Linked DNA regions of Danio rerio. The protein of the gene in region 2 interacts with the protein of the main gene of each other region in a pairwise test. Links are inferred from orthologs where the notes say so. Each region holds a gene or a part of one and is shown on either strand. Other genes may lie near its edges. The genes, in order: rnf115a, dazap2, tax1bp1a, epn1a, pogzb, ror2 and hip1.

Region 1 (4,039 bases), on a different chromosome or scaffold from region 2:
TGTGCTTTTTTTCATTCCAAAAACGCGAGGCGCACCTCACTGCCTTAATGTTGACAAGGAAAAAAGAAGAGAAGAAGCGCGGTCCTCTTATGAAACGACTGAATCAGCTGGGTATCTATTGTGCAAAAGTGTTGCTGTCTATGTTGTTACAATTGTAATATTTAATAATATTGTGATATTCAAGATTTGTATATTCATACAGCTCTGGATAACTTAAAACAGCGAATAGACCTTCAGAGCGGCATTAATGCGTCCTGAAGTAAAGCGAAATGGCTATAAACTCCAGCAAGATAGAATGATTATATACAGAGTCATACTTTATCTTTAAATAAAGTATAACTATAGAAACTGTGTTCATCTTAACTGAAAGCTTCTGCGTGTTTGCTGGCCTCACGCATCGCGCACCTGTCAGTCAGTCAGTCAGCACGTAACCCCAAAGGATTAAACAATAGCGCACAACACTATACGGTTATAAAAACGTTTGCGCTGTTATAATCTACCTTTTAATATGTTTTGATGCGATTATAATCCGCTATTAAAAACAACAACAACAACAATAACTGAATGTTTTGAATGTGAATGTAGCCGTGGAGGGATGCATTTTGGTTTCCGCCATGGAAGAATGAATGTAGCGGAAACCATGCTCTTTAAAAGTTCTATGTAGTTGTCTTGACAACACAAACTGCTGCTCTGGGATGAGCCGCGTGCAAAAGATGCCCCTCTTAACGCAAAGGCGCATTCAATCGGCCCCTTATGCAGTCAAACTAAAAAATATATAAAATAATAATTTTAATAGTTTAACTGATAGCATTAATCGGTCACAAACACACCCTTTCGATTAACGGTTAATCGATTATTTTGAGCATCCCTAATATATATATAGAAATGTTAACATTTCTGGAATCCTAGGATTCAGGAGTAACAATGCGGTTTTCGCCCAGGCTGTGGTACACTGGACCAGCTCTATACCCTCAGCAGGGTGCTCGAGGGTTCATGGGAGTATACCCAACCAGTCCACTTGTGTTTTGTGGACTCAGAGAAGGCATTCGACCATGTCGCTCATGGTATTCTGTGGAGGGTGCTCTGAGAGTATGAGGTCAGAGATGCTCTGTTAAGTGCTGTCTTATCCCTGTATGAACAGAGTATAAGTCTGGTTCGCATTGCCGGCAATAAGTCAAACTTGTTGGACTCCGGCAGGATTGCCCTATGTCACAAATTTTGTTCATAATTTTTATGGACAGAATTTCAAAGCGCAAGAATTTTCTCATCTCTGTTTTTTGCAGACGATGTCATTCTGTTGGCTTCATCGAACATGGACCTTCAGCATGCACTGTGCCGGTTTGCTGCAGAGTGTGACGTGGCTGGGATGAGAATCAGCACCTCCAAGTCCAAGGCTATGGTGCTCCACAGGAAAAAGGTGATTTGCCATCTCCGGGTTGGAGGAAAGTCTTTACAGCAGGTGGAGGAGTTCAAGTATCTTGGGGTTTTGTTAACGAGTAAGGGAAGGATGGATCGTGAGATTGACTGGGGATTGGTGCAGCAGCAGCATTAATGCGGTCGATGTACCAGTCCGTTGTGGTACCGGTCTGTGGGATTTACCAGTCAATCTACGTTCCTACTCTCACCTATGGTCGTGAGCTTTGGGTTAGGACTGAAAGGACAAGATCTCAGATACAGCCAAAATGAGTTTCCTTTGCAGGGTGGCAGAGCGCACCCTCATAGATAGAAGAGCCGCTGCTCCTCCACAGAGAGAAGTCAGCTGAGGTGGCTTGGGCATCTGTTTCTGATGCCTCCTAGATTTTACCTAGTGTTCCAGGCATGTCCCACCAGGAGGAATGCCTCGGGATCGCCTCAGAGGAGCTAAAGGAAGTGTCTGTGGAGAGGGAGGTCTGGGGTTCTCTCCTAAGACTGCTGCCCCTGCGACCCGGCCCCAGAAAAGTGGTTGAAAATGAATAAATAACATTTTCCAATATTGTGCAGCCCTAATGCACACACACACACACACACACACACACACACACTTTGCTGTTCCACTACCTGTGTGATGACTGCATCCAGACCGCCCTGGCCCCACGCATAGTCCCCGGGGTTTGAGTGCAGCATGCTCGTCCTAACATACAAATATCAAGTTGTAACCATGAACTTATCATTAATTTAAAAGATAATTGGTTTTACACTCATTATATATAAAGTAGTAGTCAACATTTGAAGTTTATCAAAATCTTTCATCACAAGTTGTAATAAAAATGTCATTTGAACACTCATTCTAGTCTAAGGACAATATACAATTTTTTGATCCACTTAAAATGTCCAATGATATATACACACATATAATTTTGTTCAAATTATACATAACAGATATTTAAATTATATACAGAGAGACTTGTATATCATTTCAACAAAATGAGAATACAGATATGTTTTAATTTGTTGTGATTGAAAACAAGGGTTCCAATCCAATACTCATTGATTTCTTACCACCTCTTTGGTTAAAATGTGTTATTTTACAAAAAAAAAAAAAAAATAGAAAACGTTTAAAAACACAGCATCCTTATTATTTTATGTAAAAATGCTCTAAATAAAAACATTTAAATATGGGAAAAATGTCATCAGTAGTTTACAGAATAAAACAGAAAAAAACATAAATACAGAGAAACTGAGCATTTTCAACCATATATTAAAGTATTCTTTACCATGACACTGGAGGAGAGCCTGGTACTCCTGAATTGGCAAAAAGGCCTGCGAGAAACTGCTGTACGATTCTAGAAGGAGAGAGGAGACATCGGTGAGGAACTGATATTGGCTCTGGGGAATTCTGCCAACTTCCTTCATTTTTGTATTGATATTTCAGGGGTTGTCAGCTGACTCATCCAGTGCATGCATATATTGGCAGCAATGTTAAGCACTACACATTTGGTCATCCACATTTTTTGAGGAACAAAACTGTTTTACTGTGTCCTGCATGCTGCTAAAACCAGAGATTCAACAGAACAAATATGCTACCTACAGAAATACTACATGAGGCCTAAAATTACTGGTTATTTTATTACAAGTTTTGTTTTTCATTTTTATGTGTTCATAATAATGCCACTAATTTTAGGTTTATTTCATAATTACTGAAGAAATCTAAATGCAATATTCTAGACATTTATAATATACAGCATTAAGTGCCCAATGCACACTAAGTAAATAACAGACACCTTTTGATTGATTTTCTATTAAGATTATTGTATATGAAATTTGAAGCCAAAAACTGAACACAGCATCTTTATGGCCTTTACACAGAACATGTATTTTCAGCTTTGAATACAAGAGGCATGCTGCAGTGTGCTGTGTTACTTCATGTTATTAGGCAACCACTGAATCAGCTGTTCTGTCACAATTGATAGCCCACATCTCAGTTCATTCTATTGGACAACGAAAGAGAAAAAAAAAGTGACGAGGTTGAGCTCAGTTAAAACGTGAGGTGCATGATACACACAAGCAGCATGCAAAACTATCATTGTCAATAGAAGACAAAAGGCATTTCTTATTAAAAAAGCTTGACAACGAGCCTTGTAATGTGCTTGTTCATCAGTATTTAAACAGAATGTTTAATGAAGCTCAATGGTGCATTTACAATGCAACATTACTGCATAAATATTTTTATGCTTTTTCTAAATATATTTGGCTATATTTGGCTAAGTCCTTTTATTAATCGGGGTTGCCACAGCAGAATGAACCACCAACTTATCCAGCATATGTTTTAGGCAGCGGGTGCCCTTCCACCCGCAATCCATCACACCCATCCATTCTCATTCACACACATACACTACAGACACTACAGCTTAACTTAAAAAAAATGTTTAAATCCAGGAAATCTTTGAAAAAATTACCAGCATTCCTCAAAATATCTTATTTTGTGTTCAACAGAAGAAAAGTCATTCATTTTGAATAAGTGTAAGCACAGAATTTGAATTATTCCATCTCTTTGAGTATTTGTGACTTTATTTTTTAACATTTTCAGGTATTATTCCACCATGATAAAATTTATAACCAT
Region 2 (4,039 bases):
CGCACTCTCTTGTACTGCATTTAGGTTCATTCATATTTAAATTCCTTAGCTTTTAAATAATGGTGCAATTTTGGCACCTGATAACATTTATATAAGCTTGCCCAAAGGTACAATACACCACTGTTGTTGTTGTTTCAGTTTGTAAACACATCTTTCTCTTTGATTTAGACGGCTTAAATTCGCATTTGACATATCTGGCAAGACCGTAATAATGATATGAATGAGCATGGATAAGCGTACTATTCAAAGAGAAAGGTTTGAGTGCATAGCTACTTTACACAGATGATCAAACTGACCGGGCAGTTTTCTTGGCATGATCTCTGGCTCTAAAACCAAAACAAAAGTAGTACTGTTAAAAAAAATGAAGCTGCAAGAGGTATGCCAGTTCCGCTAAAGGTAAAAATGACCTGGTTTTCACCTTAAAAGTCGTCTTCCCTCTATAACCAATAATTAAACGACACGTATGAGCAAACCTACAATTACCATGCGCTTTTTTAATTGTGAATACGCATTACACATTATATAATTGCAATATTACACAATCATATCAACAGTGGCGCATTGTACCTCGAGTAAGGGGCTCTAAAATATTACATTCCATTAGATTAAATCAGTATTGTGGCTTAGCCAAGCAGCCCCAAAGGAGGCAGGGGGGTGGGAGAACAGGTAAAGGGAACCAGGGGGTGGGGAGGAAGGAAGGAGGGCTTCGGTCCAGGCCCAGAGGGGTGTTCACTGTTACCAGATGGTGTAACCACCGCTGGAGCCACCCATGAAAAAGTTGCCCTTGCGCTGTGTCATCACGACATTTGCACCCTGCATGGCTGCCATCTGAGCCGCGTTAGGGAGGTGTCCGGGAGGTGGAGGCTTCAAAAGAGAGAAAAAGATGGACATTTTATATACACAATTCATTTTCAGTCACATACATGCCAGGGGAAAAGGTCATAGCAGTGCATTTGCATCTATTTGTCTCAGTTGTGCAAAATACAGTTTTCATGGATTTCTAAAATTGTCCATTTTGGATGGTAGACTTTGAGAGGTGACATTTTCAAGGTAGACCGAAACCAGCAAAATTCATAAGACCTTCAAATAGAGCCAGTGTTTCTCAACCACGTTCCTGGAGGACCACCATCTCTGCACATTTTCCATGTAACCAAACACACCTGAATCAGATCATCAGCTCATTAGCAGAGACTGAAATACCTGTAATAGATGTGACAGAGAAAGGAGACATCCAAAACGTAGTGTTGGTGAGCCTCCAGGAACATGGTTGAGAAACACTGAAACACACTGAACCAGGAATTTTCAATTTACTGATTTAATGATGACTAAAATGGCTAGAAAAGTGGAATACATCACTTTGTACCAAACTAATCTGTAAACACGTTTGGCATAGCCCCTTCTTTCAATTCTATTATGAAATTATAGTAGGAGATTGCAGATTTGTTCTATTTTGTCACTCAATTTTTAACACTGACATTTGTCAAACATTCATCAGAAATAGTCAATAAATTTAGCATTCACTTCAAATGAATACTAATTAATGATCAGTTGACGCCCTACAGGTTGAAAGCTTCTTGCATATCACGATTTCACTTTTTTATAGGACTCAAAATGTGGGAAATCATACTATTATTATGGCTAACATTAATGTAATGTATGTAAAAGTAATAATTGTACAACTTATATTTACATAATGATATAATCAACTGATAACAGGTCAATATAATACATTCCATGATTTCACACCTTAAGTAATAATAAAAAAATTTAAAAAACGAGTACCGATTCTGATGCTTCAAGCTTTATAATGCATAAAGCACAGCATTTCACCTCCAAGTATGTTACAAGTATGAGAGCTCTCCTAAGAGCAGGGGTGTCCAAAGTCGGTCCTGGAGGGCTGGTGTCCTGCTGACTTTAGCTCCAACATGCTTCAACACACCTGCCTGGAAGTTTCTACTATACCTTGCAAGAGCTTGATTAGCTTGTTCAGGTGTGTTTGATTAGGGTTGGAGCTATACTCTCCAGGACACCGGCCCTCCAGGACCGAGTGTGGACACCCCTGCCGAAGAGAATAAATAAAGGATGTTGCACATATAACCCTAAACATGTCTCTTATAGCCGTTTAGTGTGAACATGTCAAGGCCAGAAGCAGCTTCATAGAAAAATAATAGATAAAAAAAATTGTTAAGAAAATTGACTATCAAAACAATGCAAATGACGGAAGAATTCAACACCTCTCAACGAAGAAAGGTTTGGAGTGCATATTTGATGCATAAGTTAAAATGCACACCTATAATTCTATACATCTCTAAAGGTCTAAAAACATGGAATATTTCATATTGATTTTATCTGAAGTCACGATATCAGCAGCTTACACTCATTTGTGGCAAACCTTCATGTCGTTTTCGGGTCAAATCTGACCGATTTACAATTTAAAACACTCATAAAAATTGTGTTTTACATCTGATTGCCTCGAGGCTTTATGATATCCTTCACACTATGTACTTGAACATATAGTGATGATCCCCTCTTTCATTTTCATTCAATTTTGAGTGTTTTAATCAATTTTGTTACACCTGTGGTGTTCCTGGTCAAAAGTAACCGCCATATGAAATGAATGGGTCTTCAGATTGGATTCATCTATCAGATAGAAAACACCCACCCCATCTCAATCACTTACTCACTCACACACTTATTTTAGACTGATTTTTGTTTTGTTTTTGTGAGCTCATTTAAGAGCAGTTAGAAGCAGAATGGTCAATTTTGACCAGGAACACAACAGTAGGGTTAAAAGTATCTACTTTTTTATAGTGCAGTATTTAAATGTAAAGTGTTTATGTTTTAATCCAACCTCTTCTTTTTTGATTTAATTGCAAGTGTAAAAGATGTCATTTTCTAAATTGTTGACATGTTAAATTGTACATCATGCTTTGTCAAATGCCTCAAGATATCAAAACTTACACCTGTGACTAGTAGTAAAATTCAAAATCTCGAGAGAAAGTTATGAATTCATTGCCATATCAGCTTCATTTTAGAAATTTCACTTTTCTATAATACACAAACAATAAAAAGGACATCACAGTAATAAATAATAATAAAATAATTTTAAAAAATTAGATTTAAAAAAATCATTTTGAGATTTACTTTTGATAAAAATTCTAGTATTTTTTGAAGGATTCCCATTTAAAAATATTCCCTTTAAAGTCTCGCCACATATTTTATTTATTTATTGCCACATCAGCAATTTGTGGCAATTTCATGGCAAAGTCAATATACATAAAAACATCATATAGGACTTGATACACAAACAAATATATAAATAAATACAATTCACAATAACTGTTTATTAAAAGTTAAATATGATTTTATAAATAACTTCATCATGATGAAACTTTTTATTGAACATCTTTCAAAGTGTTTTCTTTATAAAATCTTGTCCTTAAACATTCACAATCTAATATGATGTGTTTTATGGTGAGAGCAGCTTGACAGTAATTACATGTTGGTGGAGATAAAAATAAGGATAAAAATCATTGACTGATAAAATTAAAAATAAAGCATTTCCATAGTATGTTTTAAATTATCCTTTGAGTAAATGTCTATGAGTGAGTCCTGAGCGTCTGATATGGCATCTTGTGTAAACAACCTCATCATGTCTTTTCATGTCATTCAGATTTCTTCAGATTTCTAAAAGTTTTCATCATTGTGACCCTCAAGCATAAACTGAGCTTGACTAATATAATGGAAATCTCATTTGGCTGATAAAACACATCATGTTTAGGGGACATATACTCACCGGAATGGAACTACCAGTGCCAGGCCCGAAGCGAGCTCCAGCATCAAATCCACCATCCACCATGACAGTGGAGCCAGGAGGGTACACGGGCCCCATCGGATAATACGCCATCGGGACACTAGAAGCCATGGCCCCCATTGGCACAGTCTGGGCATGCATGGGCATGTACATCTGAGTACCAGGGTAAGCAGAGGTCATCTGGGGCATTTGTCCAGGGGCTGGAGGGGGAGCCATATATCTGGG
Region 3 (4,039 bases), on a different chromosome or scaffold from region 2:
TTTAATAGTTTGCATTAGTTTTTATTTTTTCTATTCAAGGTATATATATATATATATATATATATATATATATATATATATATATATATATATACATTGCTCAGCATAATTATGTACACCCCATTATGTAAATTATTATTTTTATCAATTTATCAGTGAATATAGGTGATGTATTTTGACACATTTAAACAAAAGAGATTTATTAAACAGATATATTTATTAAAATAATATTTTAATCACCAAACATATTTAGAAACTGAAAGATAATACAATTAAATTAAAGCAAAATTTAGCAAAAAAAATTAAATAAAATACAACATACAAAATTGCAACTAAATTTTTACTTCTCTTGATTTGTCCTCTTTTTTAAATTTGTTTTTAACATTTTCTATAACTGGATGTACTATTTTTTGGACTGTCATCGTAAGTTATTTTGTTGGATAAGCTCCAGATTTGGCTTCAGTACTGACTATTCTAATGTTTATGGACAAATATAATATTGTATAGCTTAGCTTCCTATTAAAAATATTACTTTAAAAAATATGTAATTTACATAACATATATATATATATATAGTTGAAGTCAGAATTATTTACCCCCTGAATTATTAGCCCCCCCTGTTTATTTTTTACTCCAATTTCTGTTTAACGGAGAGAAGATTTTGACAACACATTATTAAATAGAACAGCTTTAATACCTCATTTCTAATAACTGATTTATTTTATCTTTGCCTAATGACAGTAAATAATATTTGACTAGATATTTTTCAAGATACTTTTATACAGCTTAAAGTGACATTAAAAGGCTTAACTAGGTTAATTATGTTAACTAGGCAGGTTGGGGGAATTAGGTAAGCTATTGTATAACGATGGTTTGTTCTGTAGAGTATTAAAAAAAAATTGCTTAAAGGGGCTAATAAGTTCATCCTTAAAATTGTGTTAAAAAAATAAAAACTGCTTTTATTCTAGCCAAAATAAAACAAATAAGACTTTCTCCAGAAGAAAAAATATTATCAGACATACAGTAAAAATTTCCCTGCTCTACTACACATCATTTGGGGAATAAAAAAAAAAAAATTATTCAAAGGGGGGCTAATAATTTTGACTTCAACTGTGTATATAGAGGTATAAAATAATTTCTTACCCTAATTGTTGTTGCATACTGCATCGGGTATATGTGGTGATTTTATGTGTGTGAGTGTATGTGTTTATGTATATACCCTGAAAAATGATAGTTCGGTGAACAGTGGATCCCTCTGTGTAGTTTTCAGGCATGGGAGACCAGAGAAACGTGTAGTAGTCTCTTGCACTGCTCCAGCCCACCTAACACACACAACACACACAATGTTAATGTGAATTGACCAATGAAGGCCTATGAAAAGGGTTACCGTAAAAAGAAAAAAAAAGAGACTATTTTAGTATGACCATAACAACTCACGTGAAACAATAAAAAAACTGTGACTACAGAAGGAACTCCTAGGCAAAAATACAGCAACGTTACAAACTATCAATAATTTAAACAGAAAGTTCTATTAATTTATGTTGTATCAATTTCACAGGTAATGAATAGGAATCACAATAAGACAAAGAGAAGAGAAAAGACTTAGCTGCAAAAAAAAAAAAAACATGACATCTGTAAGTCATAGCCAGTTTCGAAAAGAGGGTGCAGTGTGTGGGTATATACGGCTGGAAAAAGCCGGCGTAATGGAAAAAAGGACCGGGAAAAGGTGAAAATTTTACACTTGCTTCAAAGGCGACAGAAATTGTGTGGTTACTCTGAAAAGCGTGTGCGCATGTGAATTTCATCCATTCTGCCTTTGAAGCTAGTGTAAAATTTTCACTTCCATAACCACTCTTTTTTTGTCCGTACATTGTACAAATTAGTGATTATATGTCTTTTTATGCAGTTTTAAATGAAATATGACAAAAACAAGTACAGTATGTAATGTAGTGTCACATACAGTTACGTCATACAGTTAAAAACTACACACACACACTCACACACACACACACAGTCAGTCAGCAATTTGTCTTTGTGATTTTTCACAACACTACCTAACATTTACTTTGATTACTATATATCACATCTGTAATTCCTTTTTTTTACGGAAAGTACTCTGCTTTCATCTGACACAGAGTTGTTTGTGAAGAAATCACCTATTAATTACAGAGAAGAGGAGAGCAAGAGGAGAGAGTGAGAGAGAAGGTATTCTGGTGTGTTTCAAACAACCATACTTGTACATACAGGACTGTTAAATGATAAATTAAATAATAAGAGGGCTGACTTCACTATAAATCAGGTGCATAAGGACATGTTCGGCATGTGCACGACAAGTTAATTATATGGTACCCAAGTGTGTGTTTCTGTGCTTAAACCTACAGTATGCATGTGTATGCATGATTACACTGCATTGTAGTATTGCTTAAAGGAAGGCTGTTTTCGACGTGCCTCAACATTCTCCTTGATAAAGAATACTATGTTTGTTCAGCCTATCAAATGTAAAGAGAAGATTTTTCAACCACAACATAGACTGTGTCCAAGCTGGAAATACCATTTCATTCATTTTCTTTTCGGCTTAGTCCCTTTATTAATCTGGGGTCACCACAGTGGAATGAACCGCCAACTTAACTAGCATAAGTTTTACGCAGCGAATGCCCTTCCAGCTGAACCCATCTCTAGGAAAGAGCTAAACATTTGTTGAACAATAAAGTGATAAACAGATAATCTTCTATTAACCAGTGGCATTTTGAATAAAAGCATTTCATTTATTATTTCAGGTGAGTAAAAAACATCTGTACCTGTGCCATTTTAGTATCACTGCATTTAATAATTTAATAGTTTTATTTTTATATTTATTCATTAAATATTTTGATAGATTAATTAGTTTAGTAATATCTATCTACCATTCTATCTATCGTTCGATCTACTGATCTAGTTAGGACAAACAAACAGACAGACAGACAGACAGACAGACAGACAGACAGACAGACAGACAGACAGACAGACAGACAGACAGACAGACAGACAGACAGACAGACAGACAGATAGATAGATAGATAGATAGATAGATAGATAGATAGATAGATAGATAGATAGATAGATAGATAGATAGATAGATAGAAAGTGTTAGAAAATGTTAGCAGTAATCTCTTATCTCTAAATTATGCAATTCACTGAAAAAGTACTTTCTCATTGCCACCAGAGGGAGCCTGTGGTTCATAAAGCAATAAATGGGATTACACAAATAAAGGTGTGTGCGTTAAATATTTTTGAGTGCCTGAGGAATAATTCCCCCATAACCTCATTGATTATTTAAATATGACTCCATATACAGCTGAAATCACATTTATTAGCCGCCCTTTAACTTTTTTTTTTTTTTAAATCTTTCCCAAATGATGTTTAACAGAGAAAGGAAATTTTCACAGTATGTCTTATAATTTTTTTTTTTTTTTTTCTGGAGAAAGTCTTATTTGTTTTATTTCAGCTAGAATAAAAGCAGTTTTAGATTTTTAAACACCATTTTAAGGTCAATATTATTAGCCCCTTTAAGCTATATATATATATATATATATATATATATATATATATATATATATATATATATATATATATATTTAATTATTTATAAATATATTTTGATAGTCTACAGAACAAACCATAGTTATACAATAACTTGCCAAATTACCCTAACCTACCTAGTTAACCTAATGACTTAGTTAAGTCTAAGATTAAATGTCCCTTTAAGCTGTATAGAAGCATCTTAAAAGATATTTAATAAAATATTATTCACTGTCATTATGGCAAAGATCAAATAAATCAGTTATTAGAAATGACTTATTAAAACTAATGTTTAGAAATGTGTTGAAAAAGTCTTCTCTCTGTTACACAGAAATTGGGGGAAAAACTAACAGGGGAGCTAATAATTCAGGGGTTTAATAATTCTGACTTCAACTATATATATTATTAAAGTTGACCCACTCGTTTAGATTAGTGTAACATTAAAGTCTCGCTACAATTATATTTTTATGTATTACACAAT
Region 4 (4,504 bases), on a different chromosome or scaffold from region 2:
ATCATGATGCAAGATTTTGTCATTGTTGTTAAAATATTCTAGCACTGCTGCTTCAAAAATAAATAAATAATTAAATAAATAGATGAAAAGTAAGGAAAGAAAAACAAAAAGAAGAAAGAATGATGGAAAAGAGTTTAAATGACAATTTTGGTTAACCTATAACTTAATTTATAACCTATAACTTAATTTAAACTTAATTTATAATTTTGAAGACTAAAATCTATACAAAATTCTACATTATTTCCTAGAACTTTACTAATTTCTGAGGGCACTGCTTACAATTATGACAATTATGGTGCCAGATCAGTCTCAAAAACTACATTCATTCATTTTTTTTCGGCTTAGTCCCTTTATTAATTCGGCATCGCCACAGCGGAATGAACCGCCAACTTATCCAGCACGTTTTTACGCAGCGGTTGCCCTTCCAGCCACAATCCATCTCTGGGAAGCATCCACACACACACTCATACTACGGACAATTAAGCCTAATTCACCGCATGTCTTTGGACTGTGGGGGAAACAGGAGCACCAGGAAGTAACCCAGGCGATCACAGGAAGAACATGCAAACTCCACACAGAAACGCCAACTGCCCCACCCGAGGCTCGAACCAGTGACCCAGTGACCTTCTTGCTGTGAGTCGACAGCACTACCTTCTGCACTACTGCGTCGCCTCAAAAATTACAATTAAATTAAATTACAAAATCCAATTTCATACGTCACACATATATTCACCAAATGAATTGGATTTGTGTATTTTTGAACTGTGTTTTGAATATACAAATTGAATTTGTGTATTTACGAATCATGTTTTGAATTAACAAGTTGGAATTATGTATTTACGAATCGTGTTTTGAATTTACAAATTGGATTTGTATATATATTTTTTATTTACAAATTGCATTTGCGTATTTACTAATTGTGGCACGAATGAATCGTGTTTTGTGTAATTTTTTTTATCTTATTTTGAATTTACAAATTGGATTTTGCAAATGTGAATTGTGCTGTGCATGTAGGAATGATATTTTGTAAATGTATTATTTTTGAGACTGATCTGGCACCATATCTTCATTTACTCATTGACTCTGAAACATAAAACGAACTTTCTCACTTTTTTCAAGAAATGCACAAAAAGTAAAACTACCCAAACGTCGTATCGCCACGGCTTATGAATATTCAAATCAGGGAGCGCGCAAGGGGGCGCGGTCCGTCCGGCAGCGGGGAAACGGAAGCGGAAGTGCCGCCATCTCCTCGTACCATCCGAGCAACAGCAGGGTCAGTACAGACGATATTTGGGGAAGTATTGTAGTCTATTACGTTAGTACAAGCGGTTACATGACGCGTTATTTGTTTAAATGACGAACGCGACTCGAGGGGTGATAGTCGTGAAGGAAGAGCAGCGTCGCGTCACTCTGTCACGCACACGCGCGCGTCTCTTTATGAGTTGAGTTAGCATAGCGGCGCGCTCCCGTCTCTAAATGAGTGTTTTTAATTCAGCGCCGTGACAGAAACAGCAGCGCTTCGCTTTTCTGCCGTCTTCGCTGGTAAGAACCCGCTTTCTGGTGCTCGGCTAGATGTCTGGGCGTGTTTGAGAGGCACAACAGAAGCGCAACGGTAAGTAGCCTCCGCTAGCTGATCTCAAGTGCACTTGGTAGTGATCTCTTTCTATAAGTTTGAGCTACGGAGGGCTTGTTTTGAGCTGAAGTTGCTTTTTACGAGAGTTGATTGACTGTTAGGAATGATAGAATCACATTTGTTTGGTAGCAGGGTGGAGGTTTAGAAAGGTGTGTGTGTTGATTGATAGCTTACACTGGCATCTGTACAGGCAAAGATAAACTACACAGCACTTTAACAGATCTGGTGCTTCACCAACTGTCAGATTTCACACACTATCTAAAGCAACAGTTGTCTCTGTGAAGTTCATTGAATGTTGTTTATCTCCTTGTCAACTTGATTTGGAAACCACCTGTTGGCTCCCTGAATTCACTTTTTTTTTGGAGGTTGAAGTCAAGGTCCTTAATTGACAACAGTTCATTCAGACTTTTGTACTTTGCTCTTGGCATATTCAGAGAAGCTGGCTATGGGACTGTTATCAGGTCACAGCCTTATGCAAGAGTGCTGCATATTAATACACCCTATCATGAACTACAACTTATCACCTAGTCTTTGTCTTGATTGGCTGACACTCTTTACTGGATACATTTATAGTATGTTTGCCTAAATATAATGCGACCGTGATGTGGTCAAGGGTGAAAAGATCAGCTTATGTCAGTAACTGTTTTCTTCCTGTTTAGTGCTGTGTGTTTAACTTAATATTTACCATGTGAAGCCTGACATCTGAAATTGTAGTCAGTAAAAATTAACCAGTCTTTTAAGTTAGGATGGGTTATTGAAATTTGTACGAAATCCTGAAGATGTTTGCACAACTGTTAATGTTCAGTATTACATTAGAGAGGCCTATAAAGATCATTATTTTTTTGTGGTGAATATTACTTGTCAAACAAATATTTGTGATGAATGATTCCATTTGCTTTTATATTCGGCTTTTTATGTTGAAATGTTTTTAACCCTTTGACTGACCCTCCACCCAATAGTTGACCATGTTTTTACTGTTTTAAATAATGTCTGTATAAGTCATTTGAAGAATGAATGTTTTAAATATTGGTTCACACACACAGCATTGTTGGTTTTACAAAAGTCAAATACACATCCTGTTGCATTACTACACTTAATTGTGGTTTTATTGTTAGTTAACTTAAGTTATTTGTCGTTAAATGAGAATCTGAGATATTTTATGGCATACTTCAAAAAATAAAGATGATTTAGTATTGAAAAATGTTTGATTTTGATTATGTTTTTAAATAAATTGGTCTTACACTTCATATTTTCAAAATTTTCATAGTATCTGTATTAATTCCGGTACTTTTACCATATACCAATATATCTACCATTTTGTAGAGGCTGATATTTTATGAATTATGGGATGTGTTGAAATAAAATGCATTGACTGTGTTAACTAGCGACATTAGGAGTTAAGAAATACAATCCGGACATTTTTTTTCTTGCTAGGGGTAGTTAAAGGGTTAATTTTGTCTTGTAACGTATACCTTAATTTATGTAATTTAAAATACTAAAATCTAAATACTACAAAATTCTACATTATTTCCTAGAATTTTATTAATTTCTTAGCTAAAACGGTCTCAAAAATAAATTTACAAAATAAAATTCACACATCAACAACAGCATTATTTAATATTCTATTTTATATATTATCATTCAATGTTTTTAGATGTTTTTAATGCAGTAAAAAATGTTTTGAAAATTAAATATGATTTTTTTTATTTTACTTGTCAAACAAAAAGTTGTGATCAATGGTTTCAATGGCTTGTTTATATTTAATTTTTACTTTGAATTATCATAAAATATTTCTATGTGTTTTTAATGCAGTAAAAACAATATTCCAAAAAATAAATATGAATTTGTTCAGCTATAATCTTCAGCTCTCAACAAACCATAATAGAATTAGGGCTGCACAATCATTTCAGCATCGATATCGCAATGTGATCATTCGCAACAGTCACATCGCGAGTTTATGCAATGTAGAGTCTGAATTATAATTTCTAAGTGTTAATGTTTTGTGTTACATTTGAGATGCTTATCAAGATCATGATTTTTTGTGTTTGGTGAATATTACTTGTCAAACAAATGCAGTGTGTAATTTCTAATATTGTGCAGCCCTGAATGGAATGTTATGTAATATAAATTATATTATACTTAATAATATTATTATATGTGATGGAAGACCTGACTGAGTAGTATCTAATAGTAGTTATGTTCTGCCTCCACAGAAATAAAATAAGCATCTTCTCATCATGTAATTAACTGTTTAAAGACTAATAATCTTTGAAAACATGAACGTTAACTGTAAAAAATGGAGTGTTTTTAATCATAAATGCTCTATAAATGCTCTTTAACATATGCTAATCTGTTTAAAATTCATTTATTATTATTAATCATTAATTGCAACAGTCCTACTATTTGTTACATCAGGCATTTATTGATTATACATGATATATTGAGGTGGTGAAAAATCTTAAGGCTGGGCAAAACAATAGACTGTGATTAATCATTAGATATTTTTATGTAGATTCTCAAAAGCTTTGAATGAGTTTTTATTCCTATAATCCATATTTGGACTGCTCATACATTCAAAATACAAAGATGGACTCAATTGTAGATAGGGCTGCTCAAAATATCACAAAATTAATGTCATCGTGACAATAATAGTATATGCAAAATATGTTTTGCAGACTTGTGATGCATCACATTTGTTTTTTTACATTGGTTGTTTATCTAAATTTGACCAATTAGATGGGGCCTTACTTTCTTTATTCCCACTTCTCCAGTAGTTGCCGTTCTGCTATTGGCTGGAGCTGCCCATAAATAAAAGATTTTAAAACAGAGCTAATGAAATTAGCCTTTTTACTATGGATATGTTATAATCAT
Region 5 (4,574 bases), on a different chromosome or scaffold from region 2:
GATACGATGGGTAGAGAACTGGCAGCTGTTGGGGTGACCGCGTTTGTGGTTCGAAAAGTGAGAGTAGCAGGGATCTGCACTGTGCTGAAAGTACTAGGCGTTTGGGCTCTGTTTACAACCGGAGCTCCAGCCCTTATTTGAGCAGGCTGGGTAATTATTTGGGTTGCTCCGATGGCTGGTTTGAAAATTTGTGTGCCAGGTGCTTAAAAAAGACATAAAGAAAACACTGTTAATTAATGCACAGAACTATAGCGTAAGACCATAACAAGAGCACACTGACATACCCTGGAGTAGAGTAATCGGTCGAACAGTTTGGCCTTGTTGGACATTCAGCACTAAACTCATTGGACCCTGGCCAGGCTGGATATTCTGGACAGGAAGACCCTGTATCAGATGAAAGGACGCACATAGATGAACACTTGTTGAGACAATGTGCTTTTGTTGAGTGATGTGCTGGAATCTATATGGTGAAATGGCAGCACCTGTGTGGTAAAGTAGATCGGCTGACTGTTGGTAACATTGGCAATAGATGTTCCAGGCAGGAGAACCTGTGACAGAGCCACAGTGCCCAGTCCACCTCCTCCTGGTGCCAAGATGACCGGCTGCCCTTGCACTGCTTTAGGGATCTCAGTCGGCACAACCGCACGTTGAGTTACTGAAAAAATAAATGACTGATCACCAAGAGTAATGCAGGCTGAATGTCAACAAGACTGCATCCATCTACTACTTTAGTAGTTGATATGACTTTTGCGCTCCCCTTCTAAGGATATTTACACAACAACAATGTACTGAAAAGTTTCTATTCGCTACAAATTTTGAGAAAATATGAGAAAACATTAGAAAACGGTTTGCAAAAGTTCGAATTTTGATGATTTTAATGATTTTAAAACAATTGCAATAAACACTCGCTGGCCACTTTATTACGTACATCTGTCCAACTGCTCGATAACACAAATTTCTAATCAGCCAATCACATGGCAGAAACTCATTGCATTTAGGCATGTAGACATGGTCAAGACGATCTGCTACACTTCAAACCGAGCATCAGAATGGGGAATAAAAAGGTGAATTTAGTGACTTTGAACGTGTCATGGTTGTTTGTGCCAGACGGGCTGGTCTGAGTATTTTAGAAACTGCTGATCTACCAGGATTTTCACACACAACCATCTTCTGGTGGCTACTTCCAGCAGGATAATGTGCCACGTCATAAAGCGCGAATCATCTCAAACTGAATCCTTGAACAATGAGTTCATTGTACTTAAATGGCCTCCACAGTCACCAGATTTCAATCCAATAGAGCACCTTTGGGATGTGGTGGAACAGGAGATTCGCATCATGAATGTGCAGCCGACAAATCTGCAGCAACTGTGTGATGTTATCATGTCAATATGGACCAAAATCTCTGAGGAATATTTCCAGTACCTTGATGAATCTATGCCATGAAGGATTAAGGCAGTTCTGAGGGCAAAAGGGAGTCCAACTCGGTACTAGTAAGGTGTACCTAATAAAGTGGCAGGTGAGTATATAGCACACAAATCATAAAAAACAATTTTATTCTTCATTTAACTCATAATTAAAAGAATTGTGTTTTTTTGTCATTTGCATTTCTTTAAAACAAGTCTTTTTTGTTGTTATTTTGAAGTGTCTGAACTCTATCCCCAGTTTGCTTCTCTTAAATTAAACAAACAGGTGATTCTTCCTAACTTAATTTGTGTTCTGGAGCATCATGTGAATGAGTAAATAATTATTAAAGAAAAGGAGACTCACTTGTATTTGTGATCAGCGGAACCGTGTTCGCCGCATTTACTACAGACGTTAGGCTTGGGATCACCATGGTCTTAGGCGGAGCTGGAACATCAACCACCGGGGCTGGAGTGGAAGTGACTTAACATTGGAGGACGACAAGTTTCAGATGTTATAATGATGTTAAAATTATTATTAAAGTAAAATATATATATTTCTGGAATATCTATAATTAACAAAAGTTAAGAAGATAATTAAAAACTATGTTAAATTTCTCTATAATTAAAAATATTACAAAAATACACACCGGAGGGAGTACTGCTTTCAGCATTTCCGGCTGGTTCATCCATAGACTGCTGTTGCCATGGCTCCAGCTCCTCCTCCTCACACTCCATAAACAAATCCGAATCCATGTTTCTGAAAGAAAGTAAACGTGTTTAAAATCTACAAACTGTGAGGGTACAAATGACAATTGGTGCATTATGTATTCATAAATCAAAAACATGTTTCATTTTAAATTAGACAAGTGAAAAATATTTTTGAACTGAAGACCCTCACCTTCTGACAGGAATCGGGTCCGACCAGTTTTAACGTCAAGACTGGCGTTTACAAAATCCCTTCATCCTGTAAATTATACAAATAAGTATATGAATAAAACATGAATAGTAGTACATTTTGTATTTATATACATTTAAAACAAACAAAAAAAAATCCTGCATTAATGGGGTTAACATCGGATATTCAGAGCGCTGCCGCATCACTTCCTAAAAATCTCCCAAAAAAGTGTGATTTCATCTAACCGACAGGGGCGAAGAGAAAAGTAGTTCCTGGTCACCGATATGCACTGGCTGAGACCAGATGATCTGACTGATAGAAGCAAAAGCATGAGCCTTGGATGTGTGTACAATAACAGAAAATAGGGCTGAAATACAAACTGGGTCGGAACAGGACTCAGCGCTGTGTCTATCACAAAAACTCAGTCACAAATAATGCAGCAACCCCTCGCGCGTCGCCTACTGAGTGCGCACTCCGCATACTGTCCTCCGCGCACATAACGAAAGACGGCCATCTAACGCGTGAATTAAAGCGCGTATTTGTAAAAAAAATACTTACCAGATTATAGTCTATATAGAAATATATTCAACGTGATATATTGAAAGAACACAAAGCCTGCCGGTACGTCACAGACGAGACGAATAAATGCGCTAAATGGGCAGAGGTTCTGTTTTTTCTCCTGCTGCGATTGGTTGATACGCTCAAAACGCCACTTCCTGTTTTGAATTCGCAACGCTGATTGGCTGTAATCTCTGAAATAAGGAGGAGTGGTTACTGGAACAAGAAAATGGCGTCCTTCTCGACAAACGACAACATTTTATACGGTCTAGCCAACTGCTGGTTTAATAAAGAAATGATTTAATTATTCAACACACTGTTAGTATTTTGAGGAGGACCTGTCAAAACCATCACAAACTGTCTTTTCTTAAATCAATTTATGATTTTGAAAAATTGCTCACACAAAATATCTATTATATAAAATTATTTGCTTAAATATTCATATTTTAGCCCTGGTATGCACAATGCACTGATAAATGAAATAAGTGTAATTTTTTAGAAAACGTTCAGTTTAAAAAAATTCTGGAACCGATCACGACATCCGGTTTCATTATGGCTCTGAACGCGGGTTCATCCGCCAATGTGGACAGAACAGCACACTGCAGAGTTCACCGCACTTTTCAGAACAACCGAGAACACAGCACGAATCAGGCAGGACCACTGGTCCGATTCAAAATCAAACGACTCTTATGACTCGGTTCTTTTAGTGAATCAAAAACATTCAAAAGTTCAGTCCATACACACACAATCGTTTGTTCGACTATATATATATATATATATATATATATATATATATATATATATATATATATATATATATATATATATATATATATATATATATATATATAGTCGAAGTAACGACTGGTTTAAACCGATTGCTTTAGTTAATTGTACATTATGAATCAGAAAGTCTGAAAGTTATCATAAAGACATCGAATGTAAATTAAAGCTGCATTCTTTAATTCAAAATATCCACAGCACAATAGAAGTTTTACCATTTATATAAGTAGAATATGCCCTGAATATCCTACTAAATTTAAGCTACAATCTGACAACTAATCATTTCTTAATTGTGCCGAGATAAACGTTTCATAATAAACGTTTCATAACCAGTCGAAGCGCAGAGCAGGTAAGCTTCTGTTTAAGTTGCTTAAGTCAAGCCCTATATATAGCATTGTGCACAGAGAGGACACAACGTGAGCGTGTTTTCTTCATGTTGTTTACTTCTGCATGCGAGATGAAGGATCCGGGCACATCATCTGACGGAGTGAACTATGGCGCTGTCCTCGCGCTGCTGGTGATCAGTGAGTAACGTTTTTTAGTACTTTCAGAAGTTTTATTATAATCTTATTTTAATATAAAAAATGGGTCTGGTCCCAAAACTTCTACTGCATCACAATTTAAGGCCCTGAAATGTTAATTAATTAATTAAATCTTTAATGGCATTAAATGCATGCACTACAACAATTAATGAATATTTCATTATTTTATATTTAAATCAGTGTTCATTTTATGCAAACCAACTATAGTTTTACATTTATACAAATATAAATATTATAATTATTATTTAATAATACTTTATTTTAGTAAATTGGAGTTAATCATGTTTTTCTGTAAGTTTGTAACACATTTTTAATGCAAGTATAGCTGTAAAACCATGTTTTTATACGCACACGCACGCACACACACACACACACACACACACACATGCACAC
Region 6 (4,798 bases), on a different chromosome or scaffold from region 2:
TAAGCAAACCTGCGATCGTTGAGTGCGTGAAGTGTCCATCATTACACACTTCATTTTACCGGCTGAATTAGTCCATCATCCGGGTAATTAAAGTGCACTGATGATTTTTTGACTTTTCAGTGTGAACACACTACTTACACTATTTATACTACAAAATGGTGTAAAATAGTGCACAAGCATGCGATTTGGGACGCAGCATATGTGTCTGGACAGATACAGTCCTGTAGTTCACCACTGCTGTTTTGGCTGTCAAATTCTTGCACTCAAGTAAAGAGCAAACGCATGCTGATGATGAGGTCACCACTTCCTCAAAGTCCCGTTTTTTATGGTTTACGATGAGAGTTTTTAAAATCCCGCACTTGAAACCCCTTTTCAAAAGTCCCCCTGTATTCAAGCCCCCAAAATGCCACTGTCAAGTAAATGAACATCCACAACATAAAATAAAAAAAACTTCGTTGAAAATGTTAGGTAAAGACAAAAAAAGAGTAGTAAATTGTCATTTGTTAATATTTGCAAAAGCTGTGATTTTTCCAATTGACTCTCCTTTGTCTAGCCTTTTTTTAATGCAAAATAAAAACAATCAACAGCGTATTCAAGTTTAAAGTACACTGTAAAAAAAGCAGTGCTGCACACAATTCATTAAGTTAATGATTAAGTTAACTTAACAAATTGAAGTGGATTGAACGCATAACGGTTAGGTTATCGATAGAAAATCTCAAGAATTGTGTTGTTTAAGCTCATTTTAAATAAGCAGCAAACATTTGAGTGTAAAACAATGTAGTTGTGCTCAAACACATGTGTGCTGCACCAAAAAAAAAAAAAAAACTCTGACCAATAAGCAAGAATGAGTCATGTGACGTTCATCCGTGGACACCTAAACGATGAGCTCAACTCTTCCGCCATAGCAGACGGGCCCATAATCTCAAGTGCCTAAAGCTTTAACAGTGGGTGATAAAGTTTGTTGGAGAGCCACCATTTTAGCCCCAACCCCCCGTTTAATCCTCATAGCAAATGGCTAAAAAAGAGCACATTCAAAACAGGAAATTTCAACATCTGTCACCCTCCTATAGCACCCTGCAGGGAGGGAAACGAATTAGCAAGAAATCATTCTCAAAATATGCATCTGATTATCAACAAACAAACAAATCTGGTCAAATTAAATGCGAAAGATCACAGTGTAGATTTACATTTAGAGAACTGAGATTAAGTGTTTTATGTTTAATGTTAACACGGGGTGTATGCGTGTAACCTGAAGGGTTTATGACATCATTGACCCGAATGTATTTTTTGCAGTCTCAAACTTCATTCTCTGTAGATTTGCTAAGCTATCTCTGTAAGAGCCAATGTCTCACTTTGCATTGAGGTTTGAGCGTCTTACATTCAGAGATGTTGTTTATGTTCACACAGCTACGTTACACACATCAACTAAAGTTTAAAAAATTATATTTTAGTAAACCACCCTTTTAAGGAGAAAGTGCAAATTTATGAATATAAGTCCAATTTTACCTCAATGAGAACTGATCAAATGAACTGAATCCACTTCTGTTGCAGTGTGAATACTAGTGTATTCATTGAATAGTCATATTTAGATGAAACACTCTCCCGTTCTTAAAATAAATAAATAAATAAATATTTACCTGAATGATGTTTAAACACAAACCTCAATTAATGAAAAGCATTAATACTTTACACTCGTTTCAATGTGAACGTCAATGTGAACTCTCATTTATAGGCCACGTATAAACGCTCTCACAACTCCAAAAAGATGGACAGAAAAGAAAAATGAATTTTAACTTAAATGAAAATGATCTGTTGTGAAATAAATGAGAAATCATCTTGATTGGGAAAAAAGTAATAACTTTTAGATTGAACATCAGAGAGTGAAGGCTTAGTTATTATACTGTATAGGAGTATGATAATGAATCCTCTCACATTAGCAAAAACACATTTTAAAAAAGAAGACGGCTTTTACATATAAATCTCTTTAATCATGTTGGTTTTAAAAGATTTAATGAGCAAAACAGTTCGGTTTTAATGTGCACATCTGTGTTAAAATTGAGGTAAAGTTGGATTTATATCCTCACATTTGTTCAGTGACATGCACCCTACATTATTCACCGTGGTACTTTGAAAATTCGGTCTGAAATCTCATGCAAGTCAAGTAGGCAATGACTTGAAAATAACATTAGCAATATTTATTTGCCTGTGAACAAAGTTGTACTTTGATAGTCATTGGCTGCTAATATGATTTCACTATTTTTGTATTAAGGAGAAAATCCAAATGTGTGAATATAAAACCAACTTTACCTCAGTCGTGTGAAATATTTCGCTGTAACAATTAAACACTGTTTCAAAAACACTGAACTAGAAAGCTAAATTTCTAGATTCATATTTAGGTTATCCATCATAATAAATCCTCTCATGTTTTTAAACAATAATAAACAAAAGTACAAATATTTTAGCGTGAATTCAAATACATTCATTTATTTACAAATATATAGCTCTAAATTAAGGTGAAACTCAATTTTAGCGGTGCTTGAAGTTATTTCTGTGAGCATAAAACAACCAAACATTTAAAACGCGTTTAAATAAAGCTCAGATAATCACAAATTGGTGTAAAATCCTTACCTGCATATGCAAAAGTTGCAAAGAAGATGAATGTGGCCACCAGATGAGCTCCAGTTGTAATCCTCAATATATGATACATCCTTACAGGGAACATTCCTCTGATGCAGCTGGATTTGGGAATCAGTGTAACAACTTCCAAACTCTCCACAAGTGATAACTGAGTGAGTGTGTGCGTGCGGACGAAACGCGCTTCCCCCAAAGTCTCAAGTGTGCACTGAATGAAACTCTTTTTGGTGGTTCGTTTGCAAAACAAAAACGCGTTTCATCCCGCTCAGCCGTAAAGGTGTTCGTCGACCGCCGTTGATCCCGTTCAAGTGTTCCCAAACGTATCCTAATAGGAAAAGTGAGCAAGTAACTCCAACTCCTCGTGACGTAGGAAGGATACATCCCAAGGGAGGGAAACGAATTTGCGAATCCTACTACGACGAAGGCGGAGCTCATGAATGTGTAATAAAGTCATTTTACATTCAATTAGCTAAGCCCGGGTGTCCAAACTCGGTCCTGGAGGGCTGGTGTCCTGCAGATTTTAGCTCCAACTTGCCTCAACTCACTTGCAATGATGTTTCTAGAAAGCATAGTAAGAGCTTGATTATCTAGCCCAGGTGTGTTTGATTGGGGTTGGAAATAAACTTTGCAGGACACCGGCCCTCGGACACTCCTGAGCTAAGCTAAATGCAAACGTTGATTGGCTCATGAATATTAATGAGGTCACGTGTCACAACGCTACAGGAAAGTAAGCGTGAGTTTCTTACCATAGTAGGTTTAGTAACTCAAAGTTTTTGATATCCTTGAAAAAACACGACACCTACTGGGGAAGAGACTCTTGGAAAAGGTAGATTTATTCTGTCTGGCCATGTTAAATTGATCAAAATTGATGCTATGTTTTGTTCTGATTCGTGCGGTTCATCTTTAAATCACGGCGAAAAATTTGCACCCACAAAAATACTAAGCAGGAAAACTGTTTTCTGTTCACTGACAAGAAATTAATTCATTTTCTTTTCAGCATAATCTGGGGTCGCCACAGCAAAATGAACCGCCAACTTAAAACCGGGAAATATCCATACACTCTCATTCACACACATACACAACAGACAATTTAGCCTACCCAATTTACCTGTACTGATGTCTTTGAACTTTTTGAGGTGAACAGAAACACCCGCAGGAATCACGGGGAGAACATGCAAACTCCACACAGAAATGACAACTGACCCAGCCAAGGCTCGAACCAGCAATCTGCTTACTGTGAGGCGAGCGTGCTACCCACTGCACCTTACAGACTGGGAATTAGTTATATAAAAATGTGTATATTTGAATATGAATAAAGACTCGAAGAAGAAAATCCCCTCAGATGTATTCAGAGGCCAAAACTAAACAAAACTCTGCAGTTTGATATTTATAATAATTTTATTAGACTAACATCAAATGCAAATTAATAAATTGATGCAATGCTATAAACTGATGCTTAAGAAATAAGTTTGAGATATTTAATTTTTATTCACATTGACATGGTTTTAGTATGCTTGAATAATCAATAAAAAACCTAAGTTGCTTCATTTGCAAATATGTTAATTGTATTGATATAAAAGCTATTTTAGATCTACCATCTTAAAATCAGCGATTAAATTAGAAGTATCGTTAATTTTTTAGTTTTTAATTTACTAAAAAGGATTAAACAGTGGATTGTACACAACAGAGACAAATTTTAATAATTCTTTTTTTTATATAGATTTTGTATGATTTTTATGATTCATGTGATGTTTTTATCTCATGAATAAACAATTTTTTTTATTATTTTCCAGGGGTGACGCTTTGGCACAATAGTGCTGTCGCCTCACAGCAAGAAGGTCGCTGGTTCGATCCTCAGCTAGGTTTGTGTGTAGTTTGCATGTTCTCCCCGTGTTCGAGTGGGTTTCCTCTGGGTGCTGCTCAGGTTTCCCTCACAAGTCCCAAGACATGCAGTATAGGTGAACTGGGTAAGCTAAAACTGTCAGTAGTGTATGTGTGTGAATGAGAGTGTATGGATGTATACCAGTGATGGGTTGCAGCTGGAAGGCCATCCGCTACGTAAAAACATAAGCTGGATAAGTTGGTGGTTCATTCTGCTGTGGCGACCCCAAATTAATAAAAGTACTAAGCCTTTTCATTCATTCAAAGAAAATTAATGTGTTAT
Region 7 (4,727 bases), on a different chromosome or scaffold from region 2:
ATGTCACTGTCCTACTTGTAAACAACAGGACTGAATTGTGCAGATCGAGCCGAACATGACACTGCAGATTGCACGCATTTGCTCGCTGCAAAAAAAAACAAAAAAACGTCTGAAGAAATGTGGGCAAGAAGGAGGTCGTGCTGTTTTCAAACACTCCCAAACCCAGCAGTAGGGCAGTCGGCGGCAGCTTCATTCATCTGACCTACTTTTCCTGATGCCTGTGTCTGGATGGGAGAGGGGGGGGGGGGGTTGAGACCCCCGTAGAGGAGAGAAGAAGAGTGCGCAAACAATGAGAACGCATTTCTTTATACTTCACAACACACTTTCAGGTTCCAGCACCCAGAACCTGACTGCATAATTCAATGGCTGTGCATTACGGTCAACAAGATCTAAAAGACTGAAGATGCACGGAGATACATTATAGGCTGATGGCACGGACCAGAATGCATGACCATCAGGGCTCTGCCCACTGCATCTCTGAGTCACTAAAAGCTTTTAGGCTTGCTCGATTCATGGGCATCAGCTTGGAAACACAAGACGCTGTCACAGAGGATGTTCCTATATTAAGGAGTCAGTTGCACTCTTATAATGCATAGAAATTCCATAACGTAAGGCATTACGGAGCGAATATTAACCTATAATAAAGAGAGAGCAGCAGGAAGAACTTTGTTCTCGTTCTTAATCAATGACACTGATAAAATTGAAGGTGCGACGTGATCAAAAGTGCACTGAACTTTAGCTGAATTTAAAAGGTCATCAGTTATCATTATGACGCTTGTATATTGCAAATAAACATTCATTTTATGGTTTGGACAAACCACACGCTAACTAGTAAGCCCTATAATACACTATACAACAGCATGTCACATCAGACAGAATGATAATGAAGGCTAGATTGATTTTAATGATGGGTTAAATACAAAATATTGCAATTTCTGACCGTTTGATTTGTATCATCATGCACTTTGTTTTAGCTCACAGCCATGTCTTATTGCTGTCAGATATGGCAAGCTGTTTAACATGTATTTCTTTAATACGTCCTTTTATATTACAATACTTGCTTTTGATTAATAGTAATTCAACAGTGAAAATTTAGAGGCTTTTCTATTTCCAGTAGTATTTATTTGAAAGCAATTCATGCATGTGTTTGCAAAGCTTCATGATTAGACAACAATGCTGTCAAAAGGATCCCTGTTCACACTGAACTGTGAAACATACTCCAGGCCAGTAGGTGGTGATGTCACTTTCTAAAGACACCCATGCACCTGCACTTTTATGGCCCTGTTTTCAGACATTGTTGTTTTTATAGGGTATATGCACAGCTAGTGTTTCTTCCCACATCGATAAACTTTCGGTGAGCAGTTATTGTGTCTTTTTTAAAATTTTTATACGGTTCCTTTTACAGCATTAATGTTGTAATGCAATTAAAATCTAATCAGTTAAATATACTACTGTCAAGTTTAGCTTCATTGAAAAAGTAATAATGTGGAATGTATTTTCATATTTTAAAGACATTACAGGGGAAAACATCATTTAATGCAGTGCGTCTTGTAAATTTGGACACCCACTTTATATTGTATATCAATCAGGCAGTGAAAATCGTTGATTTTTAAAGAAAATAGACCTTAAATATGCTGATTTTATATCTGCATACAGTTCACCGGAAGTGGTTCATCCAGGTTACTGAAAACTCTATTGTCAATTAATCACACATGATTTTAGAGTGAACAATGTGCATATGTGTGTTATCACCATTTTTCCACAAATCATGTTTTTGTAGTTGATGACGTTCTTTTTAATACATTTTTTTATTCTCAGGCCCACAAATCACAGCTGTCGTGTTAATGAACCAAAAAAAACTTAAGGTTATCAATTTTCAGCTGAAAATGGCGTAGTGTAAAAGGTTCTTTAACTTAATAACTATTTTCACTGAGAAATTGCACAAGCAACTACAAAGTAACTGCAAATGCATTGAATGAAATGAAACACTTCTCATGTTTCTTAAATTATTTTTGTTTTTACTGTTTTGACAGTGTGTTCAATCCAGTTAGCATTGACTACACTACCTGTATAGTTAATAGTTATATATATATATATATATATATATATATATATATATATATATATATATATATATATAATAATAATAAATAGCACATGTAAAATAAACAAATAAAAACATTTTAATTAATAATTAATTCTCTTTCGACTAGCAGTTTCTGGAAGACAATTCATTACTTAGCATTACTTGAACTGCTAGCAATAAAATAACATTACAATAGCTTTATTTTAGTTTATTAGTAAAAACAAAAAGAACAAAAAAAAAACACTAACAATAATAATATTTTAATTGAAGAATAAAGCTCTGACCAGTTCAAACCAAGACGGTAACGGATGCAGAGAAGGAACACATGGTAGTATCTAAAAGCTGTCAGAATGGATGCTTTACTACTTGCTAAAGCTAAAACTGATAGTGGTTATTTTAAATGAATATATGTTAATTTGGCTTGCCATATAAACAGCTCGCTGGCGATGCACTGACTACATGAAAAAACTTGTCCGGTTGTGTTTACTGTTCCTCACCTGATTGCGCTCGAAGTTTTCCTTTTCAACTTCCAAACTGTTGGCACCGCCAGCGCGACGGCTGAGCACTTTGGGGATCGGGTTTGGGACTTGCTGCATTGAACTCTTGACGCGGTCCATTTCTGGAAAGAAAAGTCCAAGCTGCGCGAGCGACCAAGACTTCCTAAATCAACATAAATAGTGTGTTGACTCTAGCGTTGAGCACGAAAACCTCAAGTCCTCGTCGTTATCACAAAAGGTCATTTTCCTCGTCCACCGCCCATAGATATCATTCCAGCGCTATTCCGCTGTCCGCTCGCGAGCGCGCAAAACACGCGTCTGTGCGCGCAATCACAGATCTGCAAGAGAAAACAGCGCGTCAGTGCGCGCGAGCGACGGTATACACATCCACTCCAGCAGACTATAGCGGCGGCGGCTGTCACAGGCTCCGCCCAGCGCTGACACACACCGACTGGAGAAAAATCATCAGCTCCCGCCCTGAAAAACAGTTATCTTGACGCTTAAACAAAGTCTGTATTTTCCGGGTTCTATGTTTTTCCCCGTGATTTTCTACAACGAAAAATAAAAGAATAAACAGTTAGATATAGGGTTTTTTGTACAACATTTTTGTTCATAGTGAAACAACCAAACATAGGCCTATATACAAATAATTACAGTAACTGTATAGATAACATATAAAAAGCATCTACAATAACAATTTAATTCGCATTTACAGTTTCTATTTCCACAATGTTACGTAGTTCCATAATTGATCAATTAGTAGATGTGTTTTCCACACATATTTGCCAGTTTGATTTTTAATAGGCCTGCTTTCATTATCAATTTTTCTATTGAAACAGCAAAAAACAAAAACCACATACACATACACATTGCAACAATATGTAGGCCTAAGTGTAATAATATGTAATATAAAATAATATTAATTAAGATTTTTTACAAAATTGTTGAGTCTGAGATCATATTGAAACAACACCAACTTTAAAAAATGTAAATACATGACGAATATGCAAATAATAATATGTGTGTGTGTATAAATAGGCTGAAGAATTTGCCCTCTCCTGTGGTTTGAAATGTAATGGGCAGCACAAATGTCTTGATAACTCAGGCTGCTGATGTTGCCATCCACTCTGCAGATCTCTCGTATGCGGCTATGTAACCTCAAACCATGATCTTTCCTTCACCAAACTTGACTGATTTCTTTGAGAATCTTGGATAGATGTGGGCTTAAACAGGTCTTATGCAGTATTTGTGATGATTGTGATGCAGTTGATGCAGATGATTCATCATAAAAATACGATTAATCTATATATATATATATATATATATATATATATATATATATATATATATATATATATATATATATATATATATATGTACATATATATACAATTAATCTATATATATTATTTTCTTATATATGTACAATATATATATATATATATATATATATATATATATATATATATATATATATATATATATATATATATATATATATATAGAAATATACACACACACAAATAAATTGTATATTTTTGAGCATTAACATTCGTAAAATTAATAAATCGTAACATTATTGAGCATGTCTGGGGTAAGTAAGATGAAGGAGAAGGCATTGAGGATGAATCCAAAGAATCTTGATGAACTCTGGGAGTCCTGCAAGAACGCTTTCTTTGCCATTCCAGATGACTTTATTAATAAGTTATTCGATTCATTGCAGAGATGTATGGGTGTAGTCCTCCAAGCTCATGGGAGTCATACACTATATTAATTATTTTTTCAAGGCACCATGACTTTATATTCTGTACTGTACATTATTTCTGTTGAGTTACAAGATTATAATGCGGAGCACCCATGCAAACGCAGGGAGAACATGCAAACTCCACACAGATGCCAACAATTTGTACTTGATTTCTCTCTTTTCTCATTTGTTCACTGCACCAGTAAATCTCATTATTACTTTATCAACACATGTGACTGTCAAACTTGTATTGTCTGCTGACTCCGCTTGCATAACTATATTAGATAGCGTAGGCATCTGCAGTCTCTATCTTTGTTCTCTCTCTGATGGGCAGAGGCCAGATTCAATTTCCCTGCAAAGCAAATTCTATCAGATGGCAGAGTCAGAGTTTTGTTTTAAT

Evidence for each region.
Region 1: the proteins of dazap2 (region 2) and rnf115a interact in binary tests that used the Homo sapiens proteins (3 or more experiments, as listed by UniProt). The two-hybrid records come from large-scale screens. The link is inferred for Danio rerio from reciprocal best matches to the Homo sapiens genes DAZAP2 and RNF115.
Region 3: the proteins of dazap2 (region 2) and tax1bp1a interact in binary tests that used the Homo sapiens proteins (3 or more experiments, as listed by UniProt). The two-hybrid records come from large-scale screens. The link is inferred for Danio rerio from reciprocal best matches to the Homo sapiens genes DAZAP2 and TAX1BP1.
Region 4: the proteins of dazap2 (region 2) and epn1a interact in binary tests that used the Homo sapiens proteins (3 or more experiments, as listed by UniProt). The two-hybrid records come from large-scale screens. The link is inferred for Danio rerio from reciprocal best matches to the Homo sapiens genes DAZAP2 and EPN1.
Region 5: the proteins of dazap2 (region 2) and pogzb interact in binary tests that used the Homo sapiens proteins (3 or more experiments, as listed by UniProt). The two-hybrid records come from large-scale screens. The link is inferred for Danio rerio from reciprocal best matches to the Homo sapiens genes DAZAP2 and POGZ.
Region 6: the proteins of dazap2 (region 2) and ror2 interact in binary tests that used the Homo sapiens proteins (3 or more experiments, as listed by UniProt). The two-hybrid records come from large-scale screens. The link is inferred for Danio rerio from reciprocal best matches to the Homo sapiens genes DAZAP2 and ROR2.
Region 7: the proteins of dazap2 (region 2) and hip1 interact in binary tests that used the Homo sapiens proteins (3 or more experiments, as listed by UniProt). The two-hybrid records come from large-scale screens. The link is inferred for Danio rerio from reciprocal best matches to the Homo sapiens genes DAZAP2 and HIP1.

Annotation. Positions count from the first base shown.
Region 1 is NC_133191.1:14,581,879-14,585,917, forward strand, and holds part of rnf115a (E3 ubiquitin-protein ligase RNF115), read right to left. Parts: intron 2,763-4,039; coding exon 2,694-2,762; intron 2,265-2,693; exon of another isoform or gene 2,111-2,264; coding exon 2,038-2,110; exon of another isoform or gene 1,284-2,037; intron 1,097-1,283; exon of another isoform or gene 942-1,096; intron 1-941. UniProt on the Homo sapiens protein: E3 ubiquitin-protein ligase that catalyzes the 'Lys-48'- and/or 'Lys-63'-linked polyubiquitination of various substrates and thereby plays a role in a number of signaling pathways including autophagy, innate immunity, cell proliferation and cell death.
Region 2 is NC_133198.1:36,683,378-36,687,416, reverse strand, and holds part of dazap2 (DAZ-associated protein 2), read right to left. Parts: coding exon 3,797-4,039; intron 2,846-3,796; exon of another isoform or gene 2,042-2,845; intron 1,837-2,041; exon of another isoform or gene 1,267-1,836; intron 865-1,266; coding exon 736-864; 3' UTR 1-735. UniProt on the Homo sapiens protein: In unstressed cells, promotes SIAH1-mediated polyubiquitination and degradation of the serine/threonine-protein kinase HIPK2, probably by acting as a loading factor that potentiates complex formation between HIPK2 and ubiquitin ligase SIAH1.
Region 3 is NC_133194.1:21,851,334-21,855,372, forward strand, and holds part of tax1bp1a (tax1-binding protein 1 homolog A), read right to left. Parts: intron 1,323-4,039; coding exon 1,220-1,322; intron 1-1,219.
Region 4 is NC_133191.1:13,094,045-13,098,548, forward strand, and holds the start of epn1a (epsin-1), read left to right. Parts: upstream 1-1,225; 5' UTR 1,226-1,273; exon of another isoform or gene 1,274-1,612; intron 1,613-4,504. UniProt on the Homo sapiens protein: Binds to membranes enriched in phosphatidylinositol 4,5-bisphosphate (PtdIns(4,5)P2). Modifies membrane curvature and facilitates the formation of clathrin-coated invaginations. Regulates receptor-mediated endocytosis.
Region 5 is NC_133191.1:42,522,651-42,527,224, reverse strand, and holds the start of pogzb (uncharacterized protein LOC561483), read right to left. Parts: upstream 2,918-4,574; 5' UTR 2,857-2,917; exon of another isoform or gene 2,544-2,856; intron 2,368-2,543; 5' UTR 2,302-2,367; intron 2,161-2,301; 5' UTR 2,157-2,160; coding exon 2,051-2,156; intron 1,885-2,050; coding exon 1,768-1,884; intron 656-1,767; coding exon 483-655; intron 385-482; coding exon 285-384; intron 203-284; coding exon 1-202. Other genes in the region: si:dkey-23o4.6 (retinol dehydrogenase 12), read left to right, coding at 4,073-4,163. UniProt on the Homo sapiens protein: Plays a role in mitotic cell cycle progression and is involved in kinetochore assembly and mitotic sister chromatid cohesion.
Region 6 is NC_133185.1:5,739,364-5,744,161, reverse strand, and holds the start of ror2 (tyrosine-protein kinase transmembrane receptor ROR2), read right to left. Parts: upstream 2,951-4,798; 5' UTR 2,723-2,950; coding exon 2,629-2,722; intron 1-2,628. UniProt on the Homo sapiens protein: Tyrosine-protein kinase receptor which may be involved in the early formation of the chondrocytes. It seems to be required for cartilage and growth plate development. Phosphorylates YWHAB, leading to induction of osteogenesis and bone formation.
Region 7 is NC_133190.1:19,452,857-19,457,583, forward strand, and holds the start of hip1 (huntingtin-interacting protein 1), read right to left. Parts: upstream 2,941-4,727; 5' UTR 2,704-2,940; coding exon 2,584-2,703; intron 1-2,583. UniProt on the Homo sapiens protein: Plays a role in clathrin-mediated endocytosis and trafficking. Involved in regulating AMPA receptor trafficking in the central nervous system in an NMDA-dependent manner. Regulates presynaptic nerve terminal activity.